Macaca mulatta: one gene and its partner. The main gene of each other region encodes a partner of the protein of the gene in region 2 in a complex. Links are inferred from orthologs where the notes say so. Each region holds a gene or a part of one and is shown on either strand. Other genes may lie near its edges. The genes, in order: NUP62 and NUP58.

Evidence for each region.
Region 1: NUP58 (region 2) and NUP62 share a complex: the UniProt entries of both Homo sapiens proteins name them as parts of the p62 complex. The link is inferred for Macaca mulatta from reciprocal best matches to the Homo sapiens genes NUP58 and NUP62.

What each region holds. Positions count from the first base shown.
Region 1 is NC_133424.1:62,390,187-62,394,748, reverse strand, and holds the start of NUP62 (nuclear pore glycoprotein p62), read left to right. Parts: upstream 1-1,463; 5' UTR 1,464-1,540; exon of another isoform or gene 1,541-1,662; intron 1,663-3,001; exon of another isoform or gene 3,002-3,113; intron 3,114-3,858; exon of another isoform or gene 3,859-4,003; intron 4,004-4,562. UniProt on the Homo sapiens protein: Essential component of the nuclear pore complex. The N-terminal is probably involved in nucleocytoplasmic transport.
Region 2 is NC_133422.1:5,561,943-5,565,754, reverse strand, and holds part of NUP58 (nucleoporin p58/p45), read right to left. Parts: intron 3,149-3,812; coding exon 2,947-3,148; intron 1-2,946. UniProt on the Homo sapiens protein: Component of the nuclear pore complex, a complex required for the trafficking across the nuclear membrane.

The DNA of each region.
Region 1 (4,562 bases), on a different chromosome or scaffold from region 2:
TGTAGCACAGGTGCAGGGCGCTGTAGCACAGGTGCAGGGCACTGATGGCAACAGGAGCGGCTGCACCAGCAGCTGGGACGAGGCTCTGGAGGATGCTCAGCTGGATGAAGACAGGCACCAAGGCGAAAGTGGAAGACCTACACGTGTGAGACAAGAGTGGGTGGGGTCGTGGGGTCAGGAAAGCCTCATCCACCGGCCAAAATCATGGGGAAGCCAAGCCACACCCCCAGGCACGTCCACGGGGCTCCTCCCTCCCCCTTCCAACCACAGTTTATAACTAAGCCTCAGCCTCTCCGAATTCTAAATTTGCCCTTTCTTTACCCAAATCTGAGCCCCACCCACTCCCAAGGGAATTTCTTTAGGTCCTAAGGTAGGACCGATGCCCCACCCTTTCCCCCAATACAGAAACCTAAGGGTCTCCCAGGGGAATTACCTTAGGCCCCTCCCATCCACCTCAGAATATTCCGCTTCATGGAAAAACTCAATTCCAGGGACATTTTCTTCCAGCCACGCCCCTTGCCCTAAAATATTTCCTTTTGGCCCCACTGCCTTCCTAGCTTCCATCCCAAACCAGTGCCCAGGGGAACTGCCCCAGGCCCCAGCCCTTCAGCAATGTTATCCACTCAAATCCCACTCCTCGCTTTGCCACTGTCCCTCCAAGCCCCGCCCCTCATTGTTTATTTAGCTCCGCCCCTCTCCGATTCCCCAGAGGCCCCGCCTCTTTGTCCCATCGAAGCCCCACCCCTCAGCTAAAGGTTGGCTTAGCCCCGCCCCTTCTCACAATGGGCTCACGAAATCCCACCCATCGTGACGACAGTGGTTCTAGCCCCACCCACTTAGAGGGCTGCCTCTAAGCCCCGCCTTCTCCCCTGTCAATCTAAGCCAGTCCCCGCCTCAGCAGGTGCCTGGTTTAAAAGGAAGGAAGTTGGGCTGTGAGCCAGAGCAACGTGGAGCAGGGAGGGTGGAGGAGGGTAGAGGGGGCAGGCAGAGAACTGCTACCCGAACGCCAGCCGTCCACACGCGGCTATGCGCCAAGGGCCAAAGCGCATGCTACGTCTTCCGAGCTGTCCAATTGCTTTACACCTCCGCCTTCTTGGGGATCAGTGCGCATGCGCGGACACTCAGGGCCCGCGCTCATTCATTACGGGGCACTGGTAGGCTACTGCGCAGGAACAACCAAGCACGCACAGAATCGTTTAGAAAAAGACCACACCCTCCCTTGGAGTGCGCAGGCGCAGCCACACGCCGGCTGACAAACATCGAGTCTCTAGAACTCTCCCACCCGGCTCCGGGCCCAGTGCGCATGCGCAGCCGCGCGCCTTCGGCCCACCGTACCTCTTCTGCGCCTGCGCGACCGTGATTCCCCGCTCGCAGCTCCCCTCCCCCCAGGGCTCCCTAAAGAGGGCCACGAGCTGCGAAAGGGCGGGAAAGGCGGTTGGAGAGGGACAAGTAAGCGGTTACTCACTCCATGGCTGCAGAAAGGAGAGGCGGCGGCGGCCTCGGCTGAAGAAAGAAGGTGGGAGCGGAGAGCGCAGGCGTGGTAAGCGCGGAGTCGGGCTGGGGGCACAAAGGGGTCGAGGCTACAGAGCCATGGCTGGGGCTACGCAGGCGGAGGCGGAGAACGCTGTAGTTAGAAGAGACCGTGATCTGAGGACGGGGAATGAGGCGGCCCCGGGGACTGGGGACAGAAATACTTCGGGTGGCGCAGCATGGCCCGCCCGGATCCTTCCGCGCCCCGCCCTCGCGGGGCCCCAACTGGGTGGCAGCCCGGTCCCCTCCTCCTGGGGATCAGGGGATCCGACCTCTTCCTTCCCACTCCTAGGGTCCAGGCCCCTCCTCCCTTTTGAGCCAGGGATCCGGCCCTCTCGTAGCTCCGGGGTCTGGTTTCCTCCTAAACTCTGGTTTCTTTCTTTTTCTGCCTGTGAGGTCTGGGCCTGCTTCCTCCTGTGATTTTGTGGATCCAGTCTCATTCTCTTCCCGGAGACCTGCACCATTTAATTTCTGTTTCCCTTTCCCTGCTTGCAGAATTTCCTGCCAGCCACACTTTTCATGTTTTCATCCCCCAACTGCTGACCCCGAGAAACCCTCGTGGGTTAGAGTCCAGCGTGAGTCACAGCACTCTCCCAAACACAGACCTACCAGGATGGCCTCGGGCAAATAGCTTAAGTTCTCTTGCTTCATTTCCCTATCCGTAAAATAAGAAAAATCAGCTCTCCTGGTGGGTTTATGAAACTCAAGACGGTGTCTGGCAAGCCTTATGCACAGAGTTCAACTCATACGTTCCTGTTCAATTTTTTTTTTTTTTTTTTTTTTGGTGAGATGACGTCTCTCGGTCTCTGTCGCCCAGGCTGGAGTGCAGTGGCGCGATCTCGGCTCACTGCAAACTCCGCCGAGTTCACGCCATTCTCCTGCCTCAGCCTCCAGAGTAGCTAGGATTACAGGCGCCCGCCACCACGCCCGGCTAATTTTTTGTATTTTTAGTAGAGACGAGGTTTCACCTTGTTAGCCAGGATGGTCTCGATCTCCTGACTTCATGATCGGCCCGCCTCGGCCTCCCAAAGTGCTGGGCTTACAGGCGTGAGCCACCGCGCCCGGCCTCAACATATTTTATTGGGGCCCAGCCTCACTTCTTCTTTCCCCCTTACAAGAGCCGCAGACGTTGGACTGTCTAACTCTTGCTGTCGTTCTTCTGTCTCCCTCATTCCTCTGAAGTGTCTGTTTCCGGCCATCCTCATCTTCCGTTCCAAATGATGGGTGCCCAGGCCCCATCCCCTGGCAGGGATTCAGACATCGAGGCCCCAGCTGCGTCCTTTTCTCCATCCCTTGCCCTTGGCTTCCTTTCAAACAGTCCTTAGCTTCCACGGGATAGGAACTATCTCCCAACCCTGCCAAAAATGGAAGATCTCCGTTTCCCTTTAGTCAGAGGGTAGCCATCTTGCCCCTTCTCATGCACAGGGCCCTCCACCAGCCGAGGTGGATGTCAGTCTTTTCTCTCTTGCAGAAACCCACTTTGTCCCATCCACGTCAGGACATCCCAGCTGGAGTTCAGCCTTCATCCCTTCTGTGGCAGTTAGGAGACTGAATCAAGGTCCAGAGAAGGTGGAGGAATCCTGGTATTGAGCGTTTTACACAAGCTTCTTTCTCCTCCCTTACTTGTCGCGGGCAGGAAGCCCTTCTTGGGATCTGACCACCTTCCCTTAGAGCACTTATTGTCCACTTTGCCAGCTTTTGAGCACCTGCCCTATATTTCCTTGAGCTTGTAGGGGTTGTGTTATCACTGAGACAGTATACAGAGTAGCAGCTAAGAGCATAAACTGAGCTTGTCCCATCCGTGGGCCTGCATGTGGCCCAGAATAGCTTTGAATGCAGCCTAATACAAATTCGTAAACTTTCCTAAACCATACGAATTTTTTGCGAGTGTTTTTTTTTTTTCCTTTTGAGCTCATCAACTATCATTAGTGTTATTTTATGTGTGGCCTAAGACAATTCTTGCGATGTAGCCCCAGGAAGCCAAATTTTATACATCCTTGGCATAGACTCTGGAGCCAGATTTATGAGTTCAAAACCTGACTGCACCCCTCTTATTAGCTGTGTGACCGTAGCCATTTCCCTTCCCGGTGCCTCGGTTTCCCCTGTGGTACAAGGTGGTGTTAAGAGTACCTGCCTCTGGGCCAGGCACGGTGGCTTACGCCTGTAATCCCACCACCCTGGGAGGCTGAAGTGGGCAGATTGCTTGAGCTCAGGAATTCGAGACCAGCCTGGGCAACATGGTGAAACCCCGTCTCTACAGAAAATACAAAAAAATAGCTGGGTGTGGTGGTTTGTGCCTGTGGTCCCAGCTACTTGTGAGGCTAAGGCAGGAGGATCACTTGAACCCTGGGGTGGGGCAGAGGTTGCAGTAAGCGGAGATTGTGCCACCACACTCCAGCCTGGGTGACAGAGTGAGACCCTGTCTCAAAAAAAAAAAAAAAACAAAAAAAACAAAACTGCCTGCCTCATAGGGCTGATTAAATGAGTTAATCCGCGTCGAGCAGTTAGACTAGTGCCTGGGACACAGTAGGTGCTGCATAAAAGTGGTTACTGTTACTGCTATAATTAAGGTGGATGTGTTCTCATTCCATTGCTGTGCAGTAAGTCCAACTTCCTTCCACTTCTCAGTATAGGTTTTTGAGCAAAAGCAGATGGAATTAAGGGTAGACTGTTGGACAGACTGCCAGTGGTAAGGACGCAGAGACGTGCCCTACCCCAGCCCCCCACCGGCAGAATCTTCTCCTAAGAAGACCTTCTAGCTTGTACTTGGGAACTGGGTTTGGTTTGGTTTGGTTTTGAGACAGAGTCCTGCTCTGTCGCTCAGGCTGGAGTACAGTATGATCTCGGCTCATTACAACCTCCGCTTTCTGGATTCAAGCAATTCTCCTGCTTTAGCCTCCCGAGTAGCTGGGATTACAGGCACCCGTCACCCCGCCCGGCTAATTTTTGTATTTTTAGTAGAGACGGGGTTTTGCCAGTTTGGCCAAGCTGGTCTTGAACTCCTGACTTCAGGTGTCCCCCTCCCCTTCCTC
Region 2 (3,812 bases):
GAAATACTTAACGTTTCCTATTTAACACTACACCTTAAATGTCCAAACCTACACTAAGCTAAAAAGTAGGAATTCCTAACAAAACGTCTTGGCTCTCCTTAAAACAGCAGCTAAGTCACATAAGAAAAGTCTTATTATGTAAACATCAAGAACTCTTAAAAGTGTCAAAACACAACAGCAAAACTCAATCCCAGTTCATTGCTAAAAAACCTATCCTAAATTAAAATTATACTGAAAAGCCTAATGTAAATGTCTTCAGTTTTTCAGGAGGCTTGGGAAGCACTACAAGTGTCAAGTTCTGCCAACATGAAACTACGTTATCCACGTAATGATGCTCATGATTTCGTACACAAATAGCCTGCTGGATTTTTAATTCCCTGCAGCCTTCAGAACAAATAACTGTAAATCACACGTGCCTAAGCCCTAGTATATAGATTTTTTCATTTAAAAAAAAATGAAGAAAGACAAAGAAGTCATTTAAGTCTATTACTCCTCCTCTGAGAAAGATACAGAAGCCACCTTCAGAAGGCAGCAGTCTAAGAAGCTATTTGCTCTGTGCCCATATTCATGTTAATAAAAATTTCATATGCAAATAAAAGCAAAATCCCTCTGATAACTCAAATCTTGTATAGATAAACAGTGACGTATAAAAACAACGTGTAAGCTCTCTCTACCTTCATCTAGATGGTCTAAAATTTGTTACTGGCACTTAAAAGATTTCACAGAAGTCACAGAGCATAAGGGATAACTTACGGGGTACAAAACACCATTCAATAAATAGGGACGTTTCTAAATGTATCTAACAGAGCTCATAAATCTCACATCATGGTGACATGACTAAAATAACTAAAATTTTGACTGGGAAGGCCTGGGAGACCTTTAGAGAAACAAAAGGAGAAAGAAAAGATAATGTAAAATTGTTATCACTATTGTTTAGCTTCTCAGTTCTAAGAATTCATACAATTCAAAGCGAAAACACTGTAAGGTTGTTTAGGTTAATAAATTATAATTTCTGCTATCTGATTAGAAAGCCCTTACGTGGACTTCAAAATTTCAGGGAAGAGTGAAGGCAGTCAATTTCCCCAAAGCCTGGCAAATGTCACAGGCAAAATTAAAGCCTATGAGCAAAAGGCTCAAGAATACACCAAATTAGGCTGATATTCTCAACCACCACAGAGGACAAAGACCAAATCTATATTGTCTACCTTTGCATTTCCCGAGCCCAGCACATAGTAGGCACTCATTTAGAGAATGAACACACATCTCCATATGTCCACGAGCTCAAAATGTATGAGTGAAAACCTATGAATTTCTCAAAATAACACTGTCTAGATAAGAAAGTTAAACACACACACACACACACACACACACAAACCCTTGACAGGAGGTCTTGCTTCAAGTTTAGGTATTTATCATAGAATATATTCACTTACAACATAACTTTTTATATAACTGACATTTCTCAAGTTTTATTTAATAGAATGGAAATTCACTATGTTTAAAGAGCACTTAACCAAACCTACACTTATCTACTTTAGGATTAATACTGGCTCTAAAAAGTAAACTATTAACTGGTTAAGTAATAATGAGAGCTGATGGTCATAATTATGGGATTGATTCCTTTTAAGAAGTATCAATCCTCAAAGGAATTAATCCCATAATGACTTTTTCCCTCCGTAACTTGAGAATGCAATGCTACACTCCACTCAGTTAGAGAGCTACCAGACAGTGCTCATGCGAGCCACTACTCACACGGGTCCAGCCACGGAATATGGAGGATTTGACATAAATCTATCATCAACCCTTTACTTATGGCAAGTCAATTCTGTCAACTCCAAATGTGAAGAACAATGTTTTAAACTGCCAATAGTGAAAACCAGAGAATGCTTCCCTAGTATAGGTAGCCTGAATGCAATCTAAATATGTATTAATTTTTTTTGTATTATAATGTACTATTGGACTATATGGAACTCTCAGAAAGACACATGCTATTGAGTAATAAGCATTACTAAGAAGTTTATGATGATTAAAGCAAAAAAATCTGTATCAATTAAGACTATTTTTCCATCTCAAGCTTCAAACTTGACAAAAGGGATGGCAGGATTAAGATAATTATTAACCTCCGATAGACACAGGACCAAATAAAGCACTGTAGAATGACCACAAAAATGTTTCTCTAATTAGAAGTGTAACTAAACCAAGGAATAAAACAATCTGCTTTCCATGTCACCGATTATTTTCATCTGTTCAACTTCTCAGTTGCTCCTTAATGTGTAATCTACATCTCAAAACATCTTTCTCCTGTGCTTAATGTGCAATCCACATCTCAAAACATCTTTTTCCGGCTCTTGCTGTTCTGTTCACCTTGAAAAGGTACAATTCTAGCATGTATCTTCTTCAAAAGTTGGTTTAGAGGGCCTGTATTCTGTTTACAGTCAACATACATACAAACAAGCCTACTGATCTTCAACATAACTTCAGTCAATAAAAGCATACTTCATCCTGAATGTGGGTAATCGCTATGTATGAGGAAAATGAGAATGCACCATCTATCAGTATCATATATGAAAAATTCAATGTAAGAATGGATGATCTCTGACTTTAAAACAATAAATGGTACAGTCATGATTTCAGAATCTAATGTTATTCTTAAATGTAATTCACTAGTGAAACACCATATTCTAAAGGGCATTTATAGCAATACAGCAAATAACATTAAGTAAATTCACAATATTCAGTATCTAATTGATGTATAATTATTGCTAAGACTACCCTGCCTTTTTTATCAGGTATGTTTATAATTGTGTCCATCACAATTTTAGATTGTATTGGAACAGCTACTCATATAAATTTCTTCAGTGCTCACACAAATGGAAGACTTATAAAAACGCACATAAATGTTCTGCATTGGAACAGTAAGAAGCTATAACTTGAATGCGTTCAGACCTGTAGCAGGCTGTTGCTGCTGTGTAAGTGTTGCAGCCATGGCAACGGCTGCTGCGTTTGGCATGGTGCTGAAAGGGGTGGGTCCAGTAGTAACTCTGGGTGTGTTCTGCCACTTCTTGGCTTCGGCTCGCCTTGTTTCAAACACATCAACAGCATCTCCCAAGAACATTTTCCTGTAGCCAAGGTACTGTTCTTTCAGAACCTAAAGAATAAAAAATAAACAAAAAGGCTAAATGAAGTTCCACATTGACTATGGTAATACATGGATGAATATAACCATGAGTTACCAAAGACATTGCCAATATTATACATTCAATCTGAACTGCAAATAGAGTGCTAATAATGCACTTTCATGTAGGAAGTGATGAGTTCAAGAGTTCTACTGCTCCCTTGAATAGTTTACTCCCTATCTTTACAATATGCTTCCTAAAATACTGTCTTTGTGAGGCCTTGTTTGAAATAAATCAGCTGGCCGGGCGCAGTGGCTCACGCCTGTAATCCCTGCACTTTGGGAGGCCGAGGCGGGAGGATCACGAGGTCAGGAGATCGAGACCATCCTGGCTAACACGGTGAAACCCCGTCTCTACTAAAATACAAAAAATTAGCCGGCACGGTGGCGGGTGCCTGCAGTCCCAGCTACTCGGGAGGCTGAGGCAGGAGAATGGTGCGAACCTGGGAGGCGGAGCTTGCAGTGAGCCGAGATGGTGCCACTGCACTCCAGCCTGGGCGACAGAGTGAAGACTCCGCCTCAAAAAAAAAAAAAAAAAAAAAGAAATAAATCAGCTATGCTTTTAGACAGAGTAGTATCTAAATAAACACTCCATCAATGTGAAGATGGATGAAAAGACTTTAAAAATAAATATTCC